Linked DNA regions of Daphnia pulex. The main gene of each other region encodes a partner of the protein of the gene in region 2 in a complex. Links are inferred from orthologs where the notes say so. Each region holds a gene or a part of one and is shown on either strand. Other genes may lie near its edges.

Region 1 (4,322 bases), on a different chromosome or scaffold from region 2:
AACTTGCAAACAATCTTGCAGGTTTTCTCATTTAATTTTTTCCGATATCTGTTAATTTAGAAATCGATTAATTGATCGTTTGCTAACATCATCAAAGCCTTTTATTTAAAACAATTAATTATATTGTGTTGAAACGTTCATAGATATTTCATGGTTCGTGCATTGTGCGCACTGGTAGTTCTGACACCTGTCACTACTCACCTGTGATAAAAATAATTAAACCAGATGGTTTGAGTTTGACTGCTGGAAGTCCATCTTGCACCACACAGCCTACCATCATCTTAAAATCGTCACACCCTTTGCGACTCATAATTACTACATAAAGTTCATTTACGATTAAAATGTTGGGAGTTGGTTAATGGCAATAAATAACAACAATTGGAGGTCAATTACGCAACGTTGATATGACACACCTTCATTCCTTGATCTCTACAAGGGAATTGGGTTCGGCAACCTAGGCCATTGACATAGAGGAAACCCAACAGAGGAACTCGGTGTGTGTAAACCTGTGTCTAATGCCGCACTGCAGCATTCGACGTTGGGGCCTAAATTCAAGGAAAATATCTGTTTCGATATAAATACGAACAAGTTTCCTGGAAGCCTGGAAGGAAAGAATGATAATTTCTTAGTCAAAATCTCGTTATGAGTCACACGCCATAGGTGAAATTCAGTAAAAACCTTAATGTGAATTCCACAAGATAAAATTGCTCTTGGAGAACTCAATGTCAAGCTTCTGTTTACTTCAAGGCTTTAAAGGGCATTCCTATCTGTCACCTGAATTAAATTGTTTTGCCTGAAGCTGAAGAATTAAAAAAAAAATCTTCTTTATTTTTTTTCTGTACAAAATTTATAACAACAAGAATTTTGTTGTACAGGTTTACAAACTTTATAACTCGTTGTAATCTTATCGACTGAGTGAACAAAAGATTTCTGAAGAAGAAAAACCACGTGGGGTTTACCAGACGTGAGGCTTTCTAGACGTTTCTCGAATCTCGACTCGCTATTACAAAGGCAAAAGGTGAACTATGATTTCACCGTTTCTTACAAGCAAGAATGCATTATTTACGAAAAAAGCAATAATGCAGAAAAAACTGAAACATTTCATTACATGATATTATTAGTCAAAATTAGTAAGCATGTGTCAACTGGTTGGTAATATGATAATCCCAGACCAACTCATACAAACAGATGCATTAGACAGCAGATGGGACTTGAATTGACGGTTAAAAACGGTTACGAACACCGAATCAACGATCCGTCAAAACACATGGTCGGTAGACTCGGTGTCGATTTTTTGGAAAACATTTTAAATAATTCAAAAAATATCAGTAGCCACTCAAAATTCAAATTCCACCAATACTTGAGAAATATACAGAATTTGTGTGAATTTAAAAATTAAAAATAAGGTAAATTGAATGAGTTTGTGTGTAATTGTTTGAAAGCGGCAACACCAAGACTTCCTTCGGTAAGGAACATTCTCGATTTTTCGAGAGAATTCGAACCCCCTCCTCCCCTATGGTTTGTTCTAGTAGCTTCCACTACTACAACGTTGGATTCCCCGGGTCCCTCTTTGATATAAGGCCTCCCTCGTGTTCGACTCTTCACAGTCTTCAACCGGCGATTGAGCGAAAAACATCGCATCTCCACACGGGAAAAACTCTCCACGAGACCATTCTTGCAAACAATCTTGTGTTCTTGTTTAATTATCTTCTAAAGCAAAGTAAGTTTAAAAAATAATTGCTCATTTACTCATTTTTTGATATGCCGCTAGTACAAAAATATTTTGAATTTGAATTATTGAGTCTAATGTACCACGATTGACAAACGTTTCTAACTTAAATATATTTGTCTGTGTTTAGATGCCTGAAGAAGTTCAAATGGAAGCCGAAGCCGAGACTTTCGCATTCCAGGCCGAGATTGCTCAGCTTATGAGCTTGATCATCAACACCTTCTACTCAAACAAAGAAATCTTCTTGCGTGAGTTGATCTCCAACTCCTCAGATGCCCTAGACAAGATCCGTTATGAATCCCTGACTGACCCTAGCAAGTTGGACAGCGGCAAGGATCTTGAAATCAAGATTGTCCCCAACAAGAATGACCGTACCCTCACTCTCAGTGATACGTAAGTTTAGAAGTCAAGTTTTTCTGATTAGAGCAATTATTTAACTGTACTGTGTCTTCTTTAGTGGTATCGGCATGACCAAGGCTGATTTGGTTAACAACTTGGGTACCATTGCCAAGTCTGGAACCAAAGCTTTCATGGAAGCCCTCTCTGCCGGAGCTGACATCTCCATGATTGGCCAGTTTGGTGTGGGTTTCTACTCTGCATACCTGGTTGCCGACAAGGTGACAGTTCACTCCAAGCACAATGATGATGAGCAGTACGTTTGGGAATCGTCAGCTGGTGGTTCTTTCACCATCAAGCCTGATCACGGAGAACCCATGGGTAGAGGAACCAAGATTGTCCTCCACTTGAAGGTATGTTTCTTTGTCTTCGCTGGCTTAATTTCCTGTATGCTAATATTTGTTTTTTCTTTAATTTGCAGGAAGATCAAATGGATTACCTGGAGGAGAAGAAAGTCAAGGAGGTTGTCAAGAAGCACTCGCAGTTCATTGGCTACCCAATCAAGCTTTTGGTCGAGAAGGAGCGCGACAAGGAAGTGAGCGACGATGAGGCTGAGGAGGAAGAAAAGAAGGACGAGAATGAGGAGAAACCAAAGGTCGAAGATGTTGGTGAGGATGAAGAAGCCGACAAGGAAACAGACAAGAAGAAGAAGAAGACCATCAAGGAGAAATACTCTGTCGATGAGGAGCTCAACAAAACCAAGCCCATCTGGACTCGCAATCCCGATGACATCAGCCAGGAAGAATATGGAGAGTTCTACAAGTCATTGACCAATGACTGGGAGGATCATCTTGCTGTCAAGCATTTCTCCATTGAAGGCCAGCTTGAGTTCCGCGCTCTCCTCTTCGTCCCACGTCGTGCACCTTTCGATCTGTTTGAGAACCGCAAACAGAAGAACCACATCAAGTTGTACGTCCGCCGTGTCTTCATCATGGACAACTGCGAGGAGCTCATCCCCGAGTACCTCAACTTCATGAAGGGAGTCGTCGACTCTGAGGATCTTCCCCTCAACATTTCTCGTGAAATGCTCCAACAAAACAAGATCTTGAAGGTAATTTATTCTATTTCTTTTGTCAACATCGTTAACTGAAACTAATTATTACTTTTCTCTACTTCAGGTCATTCGCAAGAACTTGGTCAAGAAATGCATGGAACTTTTCGAGGAGTTGGCCGAGGACAAGGAGAACTTCAAGAAATTCTACGAACAATTCAGCAAGAACTTGAAGTTGGGAGTTCATGAAGATTCTACCAACCGTAAGAAGATCGCTGACCTCATCCGTTACCACACTTCCGCCTCTGGAGAGGACCAGGTTTCCTTCAAGGAATACGTTTCCCGCATGAAGGAGAACCAGAAGCACATTTACTACATCACTGGCGAGAACAGAGATCAAGTCAGCAACTCTTCCTTCGTCGAGCTTGTCAAGAAGCGCGGATTGGAGGTCATCTTCATGACTGAGCCCATTGATGAATACGTCGTCCAGCAGCTCAAGGAATACGATGGCAAGCAGCTCGTCTCCGTCACCAAGGAGGGTCTGGAACTCCCCGAAGATGATGAAGAAACCAAGAAACGCGAGAGCGACAAGGCCAAATTCGAAGGTCTCTGCAAAATCATGAAGGACATCTTGGACAAGAAGGTCGAGAAGGTCGTCATTTCCAACCGTTTGGTCGAGTCTCCCTGCTGTATCGTCACCTCCCAGTACGGCTGGACAGCCAACATGGAGCGTATCATGAAGGCCCAGGCTTTGAGGGATACCTCCACCATGGGTTATATGGCCGCCAAGAAGCACCTGGAAATAAACCCCGATCACCCCATCATCGAAGCCCTTCGCGTCAAAGCAGAGGCTGACAAGAACGACAAAGCCGTCAAGGATTTGGTCATGTTGCTGTTTGAAACCTCTCTGCTGTCATCTGGTTTCTCCCTGGAAGAGCCCGCCGTCCACGCTTCTCGCATCTACCGCATGATCAAATTGGGTTTGGGCATTGATGAAGATGATGTCCCTGCCGGTGGTGAAGAAGCTAAAGCCGAAGAAGAGATGCCGCCATTGGAGAATGATGAAGAAGATGCTTCTCGCATGGAAGAAGTCGATTAAACGTGTCAATTCCTGTTATCAAAAAACACAACTCAGTTTCTCTCAATTGTATTTGTTCTTAATTCAGCGTTTTTGCGAACTGGAATGAGGGCATTCATTATGTAAAA
Region 2 (4,548 bases):
CACCAATGTGGAAACGACTCCGTAAATAACGGAAATGTCTCCAGACTGTAAAATTTACCAAATAACGATTAGCAAATGTAATTTTATTTCATTCAAATTATTAGGAATGTAAAAATTCTGGGTCTCTTTCCGTCCCCCTCATACCTTGGCCACTTCAATTAGCGATTGAAGAGCTTCACGATCCTCAATGAGTTTCTCCTTAACCTCAGCGTCTAATGTCAAGTAGGAGAGGCCTTCAATAGCCCACTTACGCATGTCTTTGTCCTTGGCTGGGTTAATCAAAAATCTACAAAATGGATAACATTCAATTCACTTTGAATTCTCTTACAGACAAAGTGGAGGAAACTCACCTTCGACAAGCTTCGGCCAACTTCATGGTGGATCCGTCGGTGAACGGCTTCCACGACGAATCGGTGCCTCCGCAACTTCCCAATTTGCAGAGACCTACCAAAGCTCTCACCTAAATTTTCAAATTGAATCGAGGTGATTCAATCCATTCATTTATTGCGGTTTTCTACTGAAATACGCACCTTGATGTTGTCGTTGCCGATTTGATAGAGTTTCTTGAGAATGGTAACGCCTTGAGCCAAGATGGCAGAGGCTTTATCTTTTTTAGAAGCGGCGGCGATCAAAGCCTCACAAGAGACACGCTAAAAAAAGACGGTAAACTCTCGGATAAAGAAATCAGTTATGAAAAAGGTTTCTCACCTGCATGAGGAATTCACCACTGTTTGCCATGACGAGGATCATTTCCAAGACACCTTCTTTGCCAATAATGGAACTACCAACATCTAGAGGTCCCAGAAGAAGTGTCGTCACTGCCACCACCACTCGAACTTTGCTATCCATCCCAGGAGTTTGCAATTGTTCGCTGTTTACAAAAAATCAGACGGTGGAATCAAGCTTGTGATTTTTATTCAAAGAGAAAATAACTTACTGGATAAAATCTTCAATCTTTGCACTGAAACGTTCTTTAATTAAGTCGTAGTACATGTTGTCATAGACTTTCCCCAAGGCACAGGAGATGATGGTGCGGGTATTTTCCGTAATTTCCATGGACGATTCGTACTTCATTTCCTCCAATTCACTGGCGATTTGCATCATTCGCTGTAAGCCTATTGAGTAAAAAGATCATGAGTCATCGATTTACTAACTACATTTTCAATTTATAGCATTACCATTAATATCAACGAGGCGTTCGGCCCAATCCAGGGCGCGGTATTCGCAATTCCTCATCATCAATTCGAGAACAGCATCTCGGCATTTGCCAGTGATGGTTCGACTGGTGGAGCAGTAAATCAAACAAGTTAAAATCGTATCAATTTCCTTGCGGTGCGCTGCATTTCCAAAAAATTAAATTAAAAACAAAGAAGCAAACAAACAAACGAAAAACGAAAATACCTTCACACAATTCCTTATTGGGTTGTTTATCGTCTTTCAAATCCAAGCCCGAAATAGTGTTGATCACTGTTTGGACACAATACTGAGCTGCACTGACTTGATCGTCATTATTTGAATTCAGTTGATCAAGAAGCCAAGGGACTCCCAAAAGCTGGAGAATCATTTTGGCCTATACAAAACAAAATAAATAGTAAAAGGAGAAAACCCATAGGGGAACGTGAAAATTTAAATTACTCGAGGCAGATTCCCTTTGCACAATGCACTGATGATGCGGATGCAAGTCACTACAATACTTGGCGTCGTTTCTTTCTTCAACAAAGAATTAATTTTCTCAAAGATTCCTTCCTTGACCAGCAATTCGGCACCTTTTCGGAAAAATTAGTGCAAGCTTATAGAAAAAATTGCATCACTGGAAATGACCATTCAAATAACACATACCGGCAGATTCTTTGGCAAGAACTAAAATATTTGAAGTAGCAGTTTCCCGTTTTTCAACAGTCGAAGAAAAATCAAAGGCAATTTCCATCATTTGAGACACTTTTGTGGTTGTCTGAGCAAATTTTGCCATCTAGAAGGATACAAGTGTTTCTTTAATAACCAAATGAATAAAAATATTTGATTGGAACATACCCTGTCTTGTACAATATCATGGAGCCTTTTCAAAATAGGAGCAATGGCTTTATTCTTTTTATCTAAGTTGTGGACTTGTCTGGCATCTTTGTAAGCCTCTTCATATTTTTCTAAGGCTTCATATGCCTGGCATCTACGAAAAAGGGCTTTGGGATCATCTGGAGAAATTTCCAAAGATGTGGTGCAATCTTTGATGGCAGCTTCATAGTCAGACACTTTCAAGTAAACTGCTGCTTTGTTTTTGAGGAGGACAGCTTTCTCTGGAGTGTCAAGTTCAATTAAATGAAGTGCTTGAGTATAGCATGATAAGGCCTTGTCCCAATCTCCTTCTGCAAATGCTTGATTTCCAGCCTCTTTCAGCCGAATTGTTGGATTATCATTTGTCATTTTCCTAGACTCCTGTTTAAAACAGAAAAGATTCTTAAATACAAGAGCACATGCGATCCACGAGTAAACCTAGCACATCTGCTTACCGTAGTTTCAATTTTACTTGTAGCAATTTTTGTGTTTTCTGTGTGGCGCGCAAGATAATACTAAACGAACTCGTGGAAAAAGACTATGTAAAAACTTCGATGTTTTTTTTTAAATCTTTTTCAGAAGCGAAGAACAGGCTCGAATGTTCAAGAAGGGGGAGATTCTAAATTTACCATTCTATTTACGGTTTGTTAAAAAACACACACCCAAATAATCCGCTGTCAAATTCTTGAATCGTCTGCTACGGTATATAGTTTTAATTCCTTGATTTCTTGTAGCAAGGGCAGATGGCTCTGCTTATAGAATCGGAAAAATCTGAAAGCAGAGCAGACGAAGTGACGAACAACTCCAAAACCAACACTGTTAAACTGAATACTGAAGAGTGTGAAAATCTGTATGTAGGCCTAAATGATTATAACAAGTTAACAACCCTTATCTGGCTGTGGCTACATGCTACATCTTCCTTAGAATTCATTTGTCACCGAAATAAGACTATGATTTCATTCATTTAAAGATATGCTATTAAAAAATAAAAAGAGCTGTATTATATGCCTGAATGGATTCCTTCGAACCAGCAGTCAGTCATGCTCAATTTTTGCATGAGGATGTTTCAACATTTATTTGTACTACAGAGCACCAGATTTCAACTGAAGGTCTCACTGAACGGTAATTTCTAAATATTTGTGTTGATGTTATCAAGGGAACTAAAAACCAAGCTTGAACTGAAATTTTCATGTGCGAGCTGGAAGAAATATTAAATATCTGAATGTATCCTATTACATATTAATTCTTTGACTTTGAAATGTTATGTGAATTTATGTCCTCTAAACATGCAATCTCGTTAAACCGTTTTCCCAATTCCCATATCTATATTCAAATTTTCAGCTTCTTTGTTGGAATCGTTGGTGTTGGGGTTATTCCGAATTTTCCTTCACCCTACCCGAAAATGTTATTGAACCATAGGATACGAAATCATCGTTGGTGTCATTGCCAAAATCAGATAAATTACCTTAACAACATTGCAGCAACAACATACCTTATTAACATTTTTGCAGCTTTTGAGAACTTATCGACTGAGAAACAGTAAAGAGGTTTCTAATAACAAGGACCACAAAGGCACACACATCATGGATTGATGAATTAATATTGAATATGGATTGATCATGTGTTTGAAACAAATAAGGTTGCAGTGGAATATTTTTTAAAAGTCCGACTGTCCTTCAAACGGTTCGAAATGGAAGATTTATTCATTTATCGAAGACACGAGTCAAATGACTCAAATGTCAATGTGAATTTTAAGCCATAACCATTTGGTATTCATTTTTATATTGGTTGTTGTAGATCCATCCCCACCATCGTCAACCTGTAGAAGGAAAGACCAGTTGGCCTGTCCTTCACACTCGAAGGTCACGGAGATCATTACGTAAAACGTGTCATGTGGTGTAGAGGTTGGGTGAGAACGGGACGTGACTAACCATTTGGTATTCATTTTGATTTTGTTTGTTGTAGACCCATCCCCCAGCGACGTCAACCTGCAAAAGGAAAGGCCAGGTAAAACGTGTCAATGTGGTGTAGAGGTTGGGAGACAACGGGATGTGTTATAACCATTTGGTATTCATTTTGATTTTGTTTGTTGTATACCCATCCCCAGCGACGTCAACCTGCAAAAGGAAAGGCCAGGTAGAACATGTCATGCAGTGGTGTAGAGGTTGGGTGAGAACGACACGTGTTTCATCATTATCAAGCAGGTAAAATACCCGCAAGGCTTAGGAGGTGAGGGTAAGAAAAAAATTCGTATAAAAGGAGAGAGAAAAGGATACAGGCATCAGTTGGGTGAGCATCACCGACACGTCAACAACTGTTGTGAACTACCTGTATGGCTGTACCAATTGGCTTCTTCATCGCATTACCAGCTCGCAACAATTGGTAAACATTCCGTTTCTCTACATAGAGTTTTGTATTATTAAGGCTTGAGAATGACTATGGGTTAAAATGCTATTGAATATTAATGTTTAAATATATAATTTGTTTATTTAACTATGG

The links.
Region 1: the proteins of protein unc-45 homolog B-like (region 2) and heat shock protein 83 are in contact, whole or in part, in a crystal structure (PDB 4I2Z), measured with the Caenorhabditis elegans proteins. The link is inferred for Daphnia pulex from reciprocal best matches to the Caenorhabditis elegans genes unc-45 and hsp-90. Residues at the interface, in NP_497205.1 of Caenorhabditis elegans: Arg12, Asn16, Val19, Tyr31, Val48, Arg51, Asn52, Met55, Lys59, Val81, Lys82, Phe85, Arg86, Asn113, Asp114, Ile117; in NP_506626.1 of Caenorhabditis elegans: Ser696, Arg697, Met698, Glu699, Glu700, Val701, Asp702.

The regions. Positions count from the first base shown.
Region 1 is NC_060026.1:16,238,824-16,243,145, forward strand, and holds the start of heat shock protein 83, read left to right. Parts: upstream 1-1,207; 5' UTR 1,208-1,720; intron 1,721-1,859; coding exon 1,860-2,122; intron 2,123-2,186; coding exon 2,187-2,478; intron 2,479-2,546; coding exon 2,547-3,176; intron 3,177-3,243; coding exon 3,244-4,215; 3' UTR 4,216-4,322. UniProt on the Caenorhabditis elegans protein: Molecular chaperone that promotes the maturation, structural maintenance and proper regulation of specific target proteins involved for instance in cell cycle control and signal transduction. Undergoes a functional cycle that is linked to its ATPase activity.
Region 2 is NC_060022.1:4,923,909-4,928,456, reverse strand, and holds the start of protein unc-45 homolog B-like, read right to left. Parts: upstream 2,852-4,548; 5' UTR 2,505-2,851; intron 2,431-2,504; 5' UTR 2,419-2,430; coding exon 2,032-2,418; intron 1,970-2,031; coding exon 1,840-1,969; intron 1,767-1,839; coding exon 1,636-1,766; intron 1,571-1,635; coding exon 1,402-1,570; intron 1,338-1,401; coding exon 1,179-1,337; intron 1,116-1,178; coding exon 938-1,115; intron 872-937; coding exon 709-871; intron 651-708; coding exon 531-650; intron 461-530; coding exon 351-460; intron 287-350; coding exon 145-286; intron 46-144; coding exon 1-45.